3 linked regions of the Xenopus tropicalis genome follow. The protein of the gene in region 3 purifies or fractionates together with the protein of the main gene of each other region. This does not show direct contact. Links are inferred from orthologs where the notes say so. Each region holds a gene or a part of one and is shown on either strand. Other genes may lie near its edges.

Region 1 (3,500 bases), on a different chromosome or scaffold from region 3:
TTTTGAATCAACCCTGTAATGGTTTGTTGTTTCACTTGGACACATATCAACATCCTCAATTACTTATTAAAGATATTAAGCATATATTAAAGATATGTTTGAAAACTTCATAAAAATATTTCACTAGTGACTTTTTCTCTTTCAGAAACGTGCCTCTTGCTATATGCATCTCAATGGCCATTGTTACAGTTGGCTATGTCTTAACCAATGTGGCATACTACACAACAATAAGTGCAGAAGAACTAGTTCTCTCCAGTGCTGTTGCTGTGGTAAGAAAGATAAGAGTTAACTTGGTCACAGTTGCTCTTTCAATTTTTCTCTAAAATAATTTGATTTGGGAGATTGATATGGTATGCTGGGCTCAGAAATATAAGCAGTGATCACAAGAACAGTAAGGATATTATTATAAGTGTAATCTCTCAATCAGTTTAAAAGCTTAACTACCTATTTGGTCTATTGCCTTGGAAATCAGATTACATTTTTATGACATACCTTCAATTGCTTTTCAATGAATGAGTAATATTTAATATAAACCTTAATATTAAAAAAAAGTTAAATAAGTAGAGCAAGTAAAAAATGTTATCACAAAATATTTCTCTCCAACTTTAGGATAACTATACGTCTGACATGTTTCTTTTTTTAGGTTTGATTTTTTTTTTTTTTTTTTAAATCCTCTCAAAATTTTACGGTATGGAGCCATACATTTTAGTAAGGCCTGGATATTGGTGTAACCTTGAAGGAAGGCCAGCATGACTGGGGGATTGGGTAGTATGTATGATACTGGGATTAGCAGAAAAGGAGGGAAAGGGGTCTCTTAGGTTAGGTATAGTTATGGATGAAATCTTTCATCATTATCCAACTGATAAAGGTTTACCACCCGCCCTCCCTTAGGCTGGGGGAGGTGGTTTGTTATTTTAATTAATTTGTAATTTGTTACACATGTGGCCTTGAGGGCTGGGATACAGTAATCCAAAGATAGTTTTAGTTAGCTTTGGGGTGGCAGTGATAGTCCCACACCATTCACTTTAGTCACAGGTCTTTTGGAAGGTTCCCTGGCAGTCTGCTGCGTGTTGTGGTGTGGTCAGGGTATCAGTAGTTATGGGTAACCCCTATGGTGGGTGACCAGTGGTGCTCAATTGTGCTTGGGCTTCATTATGGGCTTGATACCTTGGAAATTGTCTGCTAATAGCAGTGGAGTTGATAAAGGACAGTGACATGCACCTACACTGAGCAAGGTGTAACCGGCTTGTGAATGTAGCTGGCAACTGGGAGGGCAGACCATCAGAAGGCACCCTAAAGATTCAAGGAATTATTTCTGTTGTAATGTTATATGTTATCCAGGGTATAATAATATACATCATATGTTGTTAAACCAGGTTCTATGAGACATTTGTTCCTTGCATGTCACAGGACAGGTCATGATATCATGTGCATTTTAGAATAATTTCCTTATTGGGAAAAAGGTAGAAAGAATGTATTTTCTAATGGTAGTGTTTAAAAAAAACAAACAAACATAAAACAACTTTCTTCCAACAAACTTTTGTAATATACTGTACTGCAAAGACAGTTTAGTGATTAAAAAATGCTCTTTTTAACACATATAATTATCTTCTCAAATACCATTGGGGCGTTAGACCAGACACTGTAATGCTAGTAAAATTTGACTTTTTAATTTTTCTTTGACCCTAAAATTTCCTTAAAATGTATAGTTATTCTAGTATATAAGTATTGTTGCTTTAGAAATTTTATTTATCATGTATTATTAATGATGTTTGATAATGATTCTATTTTGCAGACGTATGCTGAGCGTCTCTTTGGGAGCTTTTCCCTTGCAGTCCCAATCTTTGTCGCTTTGTCTTGCTTTGGCTCTATGAATGGTGGTGTTTTTGCAGTTTCCAGGTAACTCATTTTGCTTAGATACGGTAAAAAAAATGTTTTTGCTCCAGCTGTAGCAACTTCAAGAACTGTCAGTAGGTACCATTTACTGGTTTCTATGCACAGCTATAACGGTACGGGTGTGCTTACAAGAATACCTTGCTGGCTGTGGGCTAGAATAGGGGGCTACATTACAGTTGAACTTGTCCTTCACCCTGATATTTATGTAAATCAAGTTCTGATACCAAGTCCATGACTGAGAAGGCTCACAACATAAACACATATTCTCATTTTATTTCTTGATTAGCTGAATGTCATTATGGGGCATTGACAATGACCCATGCAGTGTGCAAAGTGCAATAAAAATCGCAAATCAACGTTTTTTGCACTTTGGCAATTGTGCAAATAGCTGCAGGCCTCTGGGCTCTATCAGCAGGTGGGGGTAGCACATAGCCTGCCCCACCCCTTAACCGCGCAGACGCCCAAGGTAAGGGTCAACAGCAAGCAGAGGCCAAATAAGGACAGTATAGCACACCCCTGGGGCTTTGGAAATGATCTCTATTAATATTCCTTGTTTTAATTTCACAAACAATGGCACAAACCTTGCATCTAACAGTAACATACTGCAAAAAAAGTTTTATAAGGATATCAGACTCTTCTGACTTACCCATAAATAACACGGGCCACACACAATAGCCAGTATAGTGCAAAAATCAATACGGGAAAAACCACTTCAGAAACAGGTTACTCACATAGATATAGGTTGCACTTCTTTAGGTTAGTACCACCTTTCAGCCTCACCCCATGCTGACTTATTTGTCAGCTCTAATAGTGTTATAATTGCCATATAAGAAACAGAAAGGGAGTGTGCACTAGTAACCAATGGTATGTATGATATAATTAGGTCATGACTAGATAAATGGGGCTGTAATTAGTAGTTTGCAGCATTTAATTAAATGAATTGCATGTGTGTGCCAGTTAAACAATGATAGATAACACTAACTCATTGGAAACACAATGTTTTTTACACCACCAGAATGTTTTATGTTGCGTCCCGAGAGGGTCACCTTCCTGAAATTCTCTCTATGATTCATGTGCGCAAACATACTCCATTGCCAGCTGTCATTGTTTTGGTAAGCCAAACATTTATTGTGAATTCATATTGTGCTCATATAGGAATCATTTCTTTTTTTGCAGGTTCTGAAGAGAGGTTCTATTTACATGGCTCATTATTTTTATTTATTTCACGTTACACCAAGATAAATAATTTTTCCAATTATCAAAATAATTTCACAGATGCTCACAGAGGAGAACAGGCTGCTCTATAATGAGGTGTTCATAATTTAATTGACTGTACATGTCCATGTCACAGCTATAATTTGAACAAAAGCATGCACATCATAGCTGAACACACAAGCGCTCACTGCTCCAATTTGAAGTGCTTTGTATCATACAGGCACATTTCTACTACAAAATCACTTTACAATAGTTGCATTTGTTTTCACTGTTCCTTATAAGACAGCAGTGTTATTTAAAAGGCAACTTTCCAAAGATGCAAAGGAGAAAGCTATTCGCGGGAGGGCACTGTACATTACACCAGATATTAGTGAAAATGATAAAACACA
Region 2 (3,500 bases), on a different chromosome or scaffold from region 3:
CTTCTTTTGCATAACATTTTAGTGCAATTTCCTTGGGGGAATTGAATGTTTGAGAAAAATAGATTTTTTTCCCCTTCATTTCAGAGACACATATAAGCTTAATATTCCTGAATTATGGATCTAAATACAAAAACATAATATTTTAATATAACAATAGAATGTAAACATTATTAAATAAACATGAAAATACAACTAATCTTGAAAACCCCTTTACCCACCAGAACAACAATATCAATATTATAGTATTATGGAGATTTCTGATTTGCAAAAACCAACAGCAGTATTAAAAAAAAAAAAAAAAAAAAAAGCATTCCCTATGACAGCAATCTAGATACCTAATGCCCAACCTGCTGATGTAAATCAATACATTCCAGATATATTTCCCTTACCTTTGGTGGCTTAAAGGGATAATCAGATGAAAATGTGATATCCAAGAAAAATACACCCCCCTCATATACTGATCCTGGAGGTCCAAGAATCGTAGATCTCCATTCATAAATATTGTCCCCCTTTGGTCCAGCGCTGTTAAAAAAAATAAAACAGCAGGAGTAATGGATATTACAGATCCCAGTTTAAGCCAAACATTTAGAAAAACAAAAACACCTACGCTAGCTAGCTCAGTTGGAATAACTAGCTTAGCCATACTTTCATTAAAAGACAGAAATTTGATTAATGTGGAATTCTATTTCTGTGAATTTTTATGGAATTCCATGAATTTAATCTAATCTCAATGGAAATAAAAAGGAAACAAAGAGAAAGAACATCAAGAAAAAACAAACAAGGATGACACATTTACATTTTTTTTTTTTAGAAATACCTGTACAAATATAATGAGAAAAAATGTATATCACCAGAATGTAATTGATCATAGAATTCTGCAGCCACATATGGGAAAAAGGTATTAGGGTTTAGTATAGTTACACAAGGCATGGAACTATATAATAATAAAAAAAAAAAAAACAGTAGCAAAAATATAAACAAATTATGAATTCTGTCAGTGATCCCCAACCAGTGGCTCGGGGGCAACATGTTGCTCAGCGCCGCCTTTGTTGTTGCTCCCAGTGGCCGCAAAGTAGGTGCCCACTTTTACATTTCTGGCTTGGAGACAAGTTTTGTAAAGGCAAACACGTGGATTTACTGCAAGCAGAGCCTCCTGCAGGCCACATGGGGCTACCAAGTAGCCAATCACAGTGCTTATTTGGCACCCCCAAGGAACTTTTTTCATAATTGTGTGAACTTTTTACATCTGAGTGTGGCTTATGAGTAAAAAAAAAAAGGTTGGGGATCCCTGAATTATGTATTCCATCTTTCAAGAATGATTGATGCTTTGGTCCCTGCAATGGGCCCAATTGCGTGCAATATAAAAACACTACTCTAGTACTCATTTGGGAAGTTGACAGTGACTTTCATCCCTACAAATGTTCGTTTCACTGTACTGCTCATTTCCAGTCAGAAAAATAGATCAATTAATTTTTCATAATGTTTATGTATTTAAAAAAGTGTGCATCATAGCTTTTTTATTAATATTGAATGCACAGGATATCTTTCCTGTCCCTCCTCTCATTACTTATACCTTTAAAAGGAACAAAACATGAGAAATAATGGGATGAAGGGATAAAATCTATCTCCCTGGTGTTAACGTGAGCCACAGTAATTGCCTATTAAAGCAGTCTAACTTAAGGGCACAATAATTCTCTATGAATTATTTTTATGAACAACATTTCAAGTACAAATTACTAAATTATTTCCCCTGGGTTAAATATTACAATCTACATTTTCATACTTATTACTTACGCCATCATTAAAAAAAAAAAAAAAATTATTTCAGTTTTTCCTGTCCACTAATCTGGTGGAAAAACCTCAAGGATTACACTCTTCAAAAGCTAATGTCAACGATACCATAAAACAGTGAGCAATACCAAACAGAGTAGCGCTCTAAATGAAAATTATGCATTCTGAAATTGGTAGTCAGCAGGCGAAAATGATGGAATATCAATCAAGCCCCTAAAACAGAGGAAACTCTTTCTATTCCTCCAGCTTCATTCTATTTCATACAATTAAAACAGAACTTAAAAATATCTAACAAAATAAAAAGGCCAAACCATCCACTTAACCTGGAACACTTGAAAAATTAGTATAGGAAGAAATTCAAATGATTTCTTCCTCCACTTTTAGGTTTCCAATTAAATGGATGATCTGTTGATTGCCCATTAATTACCAATACGTATGCCCCAGCGCAGATGAATAATTAGATTCAGGTATGTATTGCACTGCTGGATAAACTCTGTACAGTCTGCACTGAGCACAAGTGCCGATTAAAGATCATTCATCAACAGATTAATGAAGGTTCCAGTCACAACAGTTGCTGATTTAATTATTAGGGTTTTGTATGAAATATACTCAGATATTTTTTACATGTACCCTAAGCAAGTAACTACATTTATGAAGCCAGAGCTGCACATGCAAAAACATGGGGAACAGAAATCAGAGAGGGGTGGGATGAGAAATGTCATAAGGCACTTCATTTAAATGGTAGTGAAAATGGATAATGATCATAATCAATTATATAGTACCAAGCTAAACAGCTGGGATTAGAGAGTCATGTTCTGAAAATCTGAACGCAACACCAAAGTGGAACAAATAAATTCCATTATGTTACACAGGGAGCAAGTATTAGAGGATAGTTAAAAACACAAGTCGCCAAGAGTTCCACTGGGCTCAACAGAATGACACCATAACTAATACTTGTCTAAACGAACTGCACTTCAGAAACTCATACAAAATGTAGACAATCCCTGAATTCTTGTGAGCAAACTGCTTTCTGTATGGCTAATTTATTTCCTGTTATTTATATAGTGCTAGCAAATGGGCCCTCTTGGCCCTATTCTACCACATAAAAAGAGAAAATAAAACAAACAAAACCCCTAAAAAAAACCCAAAACACCCCCACCCACAGGCATGCAGCTGGCATATTAAGTTTGCCCAATGAGCTATGTTTCAGATTAAGGTTAAGTATCTGGCTCACACGATGACAAACACAGATAATTCAGACAAAGTATCAAGCATACTGAACAGGCTTGCATGTATAGATCTGACTTCACCTTTATTATACAACAATTTTAAGTTACATAGTTACATAGTTACATAGGGTTGAAAAAAGACCATTGTCCATCAAGTTCAACCCATCCGAGTAAACCCAGCACACAACCTATACTAACCAAACTATACACTCACATACATAAACTATATATATACAACCAGTAATACTAACTGTAGATATTAGTATCACAATAGCCTTGGATATTCTGCTTGTTCAAAAACTCATCCAGGCCCCTCTTAAAGGCATTAACAGAGTCTGCCATTACCACATCACTAGGAAGGGCATTCCACAGCCTCACTGCCCTCACCGTGAAAAACCACCTACGCTGCTTCAAATGGAAGCTCTGTTCCTCTAATCTATAGGGGTGACCTCTGGTGCGCTGATTGTTTTTATGGGAAAA
Region 3 (3,950 bases):
AATCCTAAATAAAAACTTTATAAAAACTTTAATTTATAAAAAAAAATCTTGAGGCAAGAGTTTTATTAATATTTGTAACTTCCTCTTCAGGCACTCTCCTTTTCATCTTGCAGTCTGCAAATCACTGCTCGCTGCTAGTATAAGCATGACCCTAGCAACCAGATCATTTAAATCCCAAACTGTAGAGGTATGGAACAAAATGTTAAATAGTTTGCAAACCAGAAAGAATTAAAGCTTCAGTTGCAAGATGTCTGAGAACAGACTGGTGCTTTATATTGGGCCCTGTGAGGGGCTCTTTGTGCCCTGGAACTGTAGGGCCTAAGCCCAGGCATGGTGGGCAGAAATAAATTCCAGGGTAAAAAAAAAAAAAAACAAATCCACAAAGAATGAAAAGATGAAGACAAAATGTAAATTGTGTCAGAATACCACTGTAAACAAAAAGTTAATCTGATGGTGAACTACCCAATGAAGGGTGATATAACACTGGGCAAATTGTGGTAAATTGCATTCATCGTTAGGTAACAAAGTGTCCTTAAAAAATACCATTTCCACAAACAAGAATTAGCGCAGGTAAAACATATATATTGTGTAATCAGCCAAAGTGCATAAGGGGGCAATTTCATGTGGTTACGCATTTCATATCACCCATGGTGATGAAGGGTGCTCCTTGCCTCAGGAGGCTGCGCCCAGTAGGTTACCAGGGGCTTATTAAGTTTCTCTGATGCTAAAAGGGTGTGTGGGGAGGAGGTGAGGGAGGCTACATTGGGAAGGCAGCCTCAGAGTGACATTGGTCCCAAATTTGCCCCTGACAGTGATTCTTGCTGTTACCAAATGCAATTTATTTTAGGTGCTTTGTTGTCTGTGAGAGAGGCGATTTCACATGGACTATAAAGTATACAGTGTGCCATTACCCTAAGGCAGGGGGGAGCAAACTACGCCCGCGGGCCACATTCGGCCCATTGGTCTTTTTAATCCGGCCCGCTGACTCCACAAGTCTTGTCATGAGAGACTTGGTGTCAAAGGACTGACGAGCGGAAATGGCGTAACGCTGGCTCGGCCTGTCTGTAAGTCAATGTGGCCCCTGAGCCGAGAAGTTTGCCCACCCCTGCCCTAAGGGCAACGATACATGGGGAGATTTTGAAAAAAGCCTGATCATGGTGACAAATCGCCAAAGTTCCCTTTCCACAAGGTCCAAGTAGCCACTGGACTCTTTTTGAGCGAGTAGCCACTATACATGGCAACTTGTATATATGTGCGTGTAACGGGAAGTGTGGTAAAAATCATGGCAACTAATCTCTCCATGTGTCACTGCCCTTAAGGAGAACCAACCAAAAATAAGCAGGGAATGCTGGTTTGTTGTAACTGAATTCCCCAACCCAGTGATATTCTTTGAAAAAAAAATATTACCATCTAGGGTACCCTTGTGCTTCTGCACAAAATATGGTCGAACACGCTGCACGATTATACTTACCGAGAGGCGCCTAACAAATCAGCATCCCTAGGAATTCTTTTGCCTCGCCCACCTTTATGATTATTGTATTGGACATGGGGGATAGAGAGTTGTCAACCTGACATCTAGGCTTTCCAGGGGAACAGAAAATGTTCCCCCATACCTGGAAGTGACATAATGGACGTCACGCAGGCCTCTCGAAGCGACGGCATGCGCAAAATCGCTGCTGAAGCTGAAAAATTCCCCCACAGACGCACAAATGCATCAACTTACGTCACTGAACGCTTACTATACATGCATGCATCAAATTCACTTCAGGACTTCGGCAAAAATGGAAAAACACTGCTGGGGGACTGGAGAAATCGTCTGACTCCCAAAGAAGTGGTGGAGGGGGGGGCTTGACAGCTCTGGTGATAGCAGCAGATGTGTCTGTCACAGTGGTACCTCCATTCTTGGTGCATTTAATAAAAAATATATATAGATTGAGATGACAATTAACTTAATCAGCTCCAGGGAGAGAATGCATGATATCAGATCTGATATCTCCTTCCTTAAATAAACAAAGCCCTGTAAAGACGTACAGAGCAGATAGCTTTAATGCAAGCGGGCTGTGCATTTCCATATGAATCCCATGGCCCCTGTGTGTGCCCCTGTATATGGCCCCTGTGTGTGCCCCTGTATATGGCCCCTGTGTGTGCCCCTGTATATGGCCCCTGTATATGGCCCCTGTGTGTGTGCCCCTGTGTATGTCCATATGTCCCTGTGTATGGCCCCTGTGTGTGTCCCTGTATGTGTGTCCCTGTATATGGCCCCTGTGTGTGCCCCTGTGTATGGCCCCTGTGTGTGTCCCTGTATGTGTGTCCCTGTATATGGTCCCTGTATATGGTCCCTGTGTGTGCCCCTGTGTATGGCCCCTGTGTGTGTCCCTGTATATGGCCCCTGTATATGGCCCCTGTGTGTGTGCCCCTGTATGTGCCCCTGTGTATGGTCCCTGTATATGGCCCCTGTGTATGGTCCCTGTATATGGCCCCTGTGTATGGTCCCTGTATGTGTCCCTGTATATGGCCCCTGTGTGTGTCCCTGTGTATGGCCCCTGTATGTGCCCCTGTATGTGCCCCTGTGTGTGCCCCTGCAGCCTGTACCCGCACCTCTCTCCTCCCTCCCACTCCCCGTTATACTGTGAGAAGCCGATAGGAACACGCAGGTACACCCCGCAGCCACTAACTCTCTCACCGTCACAATCACTTTGCTGCTGCCGCTCAGATTCTTCCGCCGCCATATTTCCAACCGACCGCCGCCACTCCAATCACTTCCGGGAGACTACAAACCGGAAGTCCCTCCCTAATTTCATAGCACAGCGCCGGATGAGACGGTTCCTATAGTAACTGTTCGCTAGTTTATAGTAGAATAAAGCGCTCAGCCAGGCGATACTAAGCAGGCTGTATTAAGCACGAGATAGTTGAATACCTTTAGTGCTATGTATACTTCATTGGTTATATGTGGTGCTAGACTAGTCTCCTGTAATACTCACTGAGCTTTCTATGTCACCAAGTGTTCCTTACTTTAAAGGGGAACGTCAGCTTCCGAACTAAGATTTGTTAGAGAGCCCCACACAACACACAAAATATAATATACCTATTACTGTAATCTGTTTCTTCAAAAAAGTATGACTAAATGCCATTTTTATATAATGAAATCCAGCTGCAAAACAATCTTCCCTTTCTGTATCATTTGAAAATCCTGCCAGGGGAAGAGGGACTAAAACACTGATGTTACAAATTGTAACATCACCACAGCTTACACATAGCATGCAGGAAATACATAACCCACAATGCATTGCACTTATTGATGTGTGCAGGGGATTGTGGGATTTGGAGCATGCAGGCTGAAGGAGGAGGACAGTCAGTTACTGTTATATTGGTTTGAGTAGTCAGATCAGCAAGTCAACAGGGGCCAGGCTTTGTTATAAACCACAATATTACATTAAAATCCTGTAACTGGTGGGAACCCTGGCTAACATTTATCAACAACTTTCATACACAAACCCGTTGACATAAGACCCTATAGAACCACTACTCTAAAAAACTAACAAGTCCCTGATGACATGTTTTATCTTTTATTTGCTTCTATTCTTTCTCAAATGTATTTAAAATTAAAAGTAATAACTTTTGTTACTCCTGACCTCACAACCTGTTTGTAAATGCAGATCATTTCAAATGTCCTTACCCTATTCCCTTCTTTTTTTCTGTACCCCATTTTCTCTGAAAAATCAAAAATAAAGAATATATAAAAAAAAAATCCTGTAACTGGTGCACGTTTTAATTGGTGTATATTGCAAAGTTCCTTGAAATTATCTTTACTTTTCAAAAAGCTTAAGTTGTGTTTGGGTGGTTTTCCCCTTTAAAGCACAGTCAGGTTTTTCCACTGTCAGTGGACTATTTAACTGGTGAAAACTACACAGAATTAGTCAATGAACTTGTGGAGCAAAGAAGGGTTGCTA

What was found. The genes of interacting proteins can lie anywhere in the genome.
Region 1: the proteins of otub1 (region 3) and slc7a11 purify together in Homo sapiens (affinity purification with western blotting; 5 studies listed by BioGRID, with this or other methods). This does not show direct contact. The link is inferred for Xenopus tropicalis from reciprocal best matches to the Homo sapiens genes OTUB1 and SLC7A11.
Region 2: the proteins of otub1 (region 3) and ube2e3 purify together in Homo sapiens (affinity purification with mass spectrometry; 3 studies listed by BioGRID and IntAct, counting the BioPlex papers as one, with this or other methods). This does not show direct contact. The link is inferred for Xenopus tropicalis from reciprocal best matches to the Homo sapiens genes OTUB1 and UBE2E3.

What each region holds. Positions count from the first base shown.
Region 1 is NC_030677.2:61,844,422-61,847,921, forward strand, and holds part of slc7a11 (cystine/glutamate transporter), read left to right. Parts: intron 1-145; coding exon 146-269; intron 270-1,795; coding exon 1,796-1,899; intron 1,900-2,911; coding exon 2,912-3,008; intron 3,009-3,500. UniProt on the Homo sapiens protein: Heterodimer with SLC3A2, that functions as an antiporter by mediating the exchange of extracellular anionic L-cystine and intracellular L-glutamate across the cellular plasma membrane.
Region 2 is NC_030685.2:62,838,480-62,841,979, forward strand, and holds part of ube2e3 (ubiquitin-conjugating enzyme E2 E3), read right to left. Parts: intron 523-3,500; coding exon 390-522; intron 1-389. UniProt on the Homo sapiens protein: Accepts ubiquitin from the E1 complex and catalyzes its covalent attachment to other proteins. In vitro catalyzes 'Lys-11'- and 'Lys-48'-, as well as 'Lys-63'-linked polyubiquitination.
Region 3 is NC_030680.2:36,046,273-36,050,222, forward strand, and holds the start of otub1 (ubiquitin thioesterase OTUB1), read right to left. Parts: upstream 2,801-3,950; 5' UTR 2,730-2,800; coding exon 2,684-2,729; intron 1-2,683. UniProt on the Homo sapiens protein: Hydrolase that can specifically remove 'Lys-48'-linked conjugated ubiquitin from proteins and plays an important regulatory role at the level of protein turnover by preventing degradation.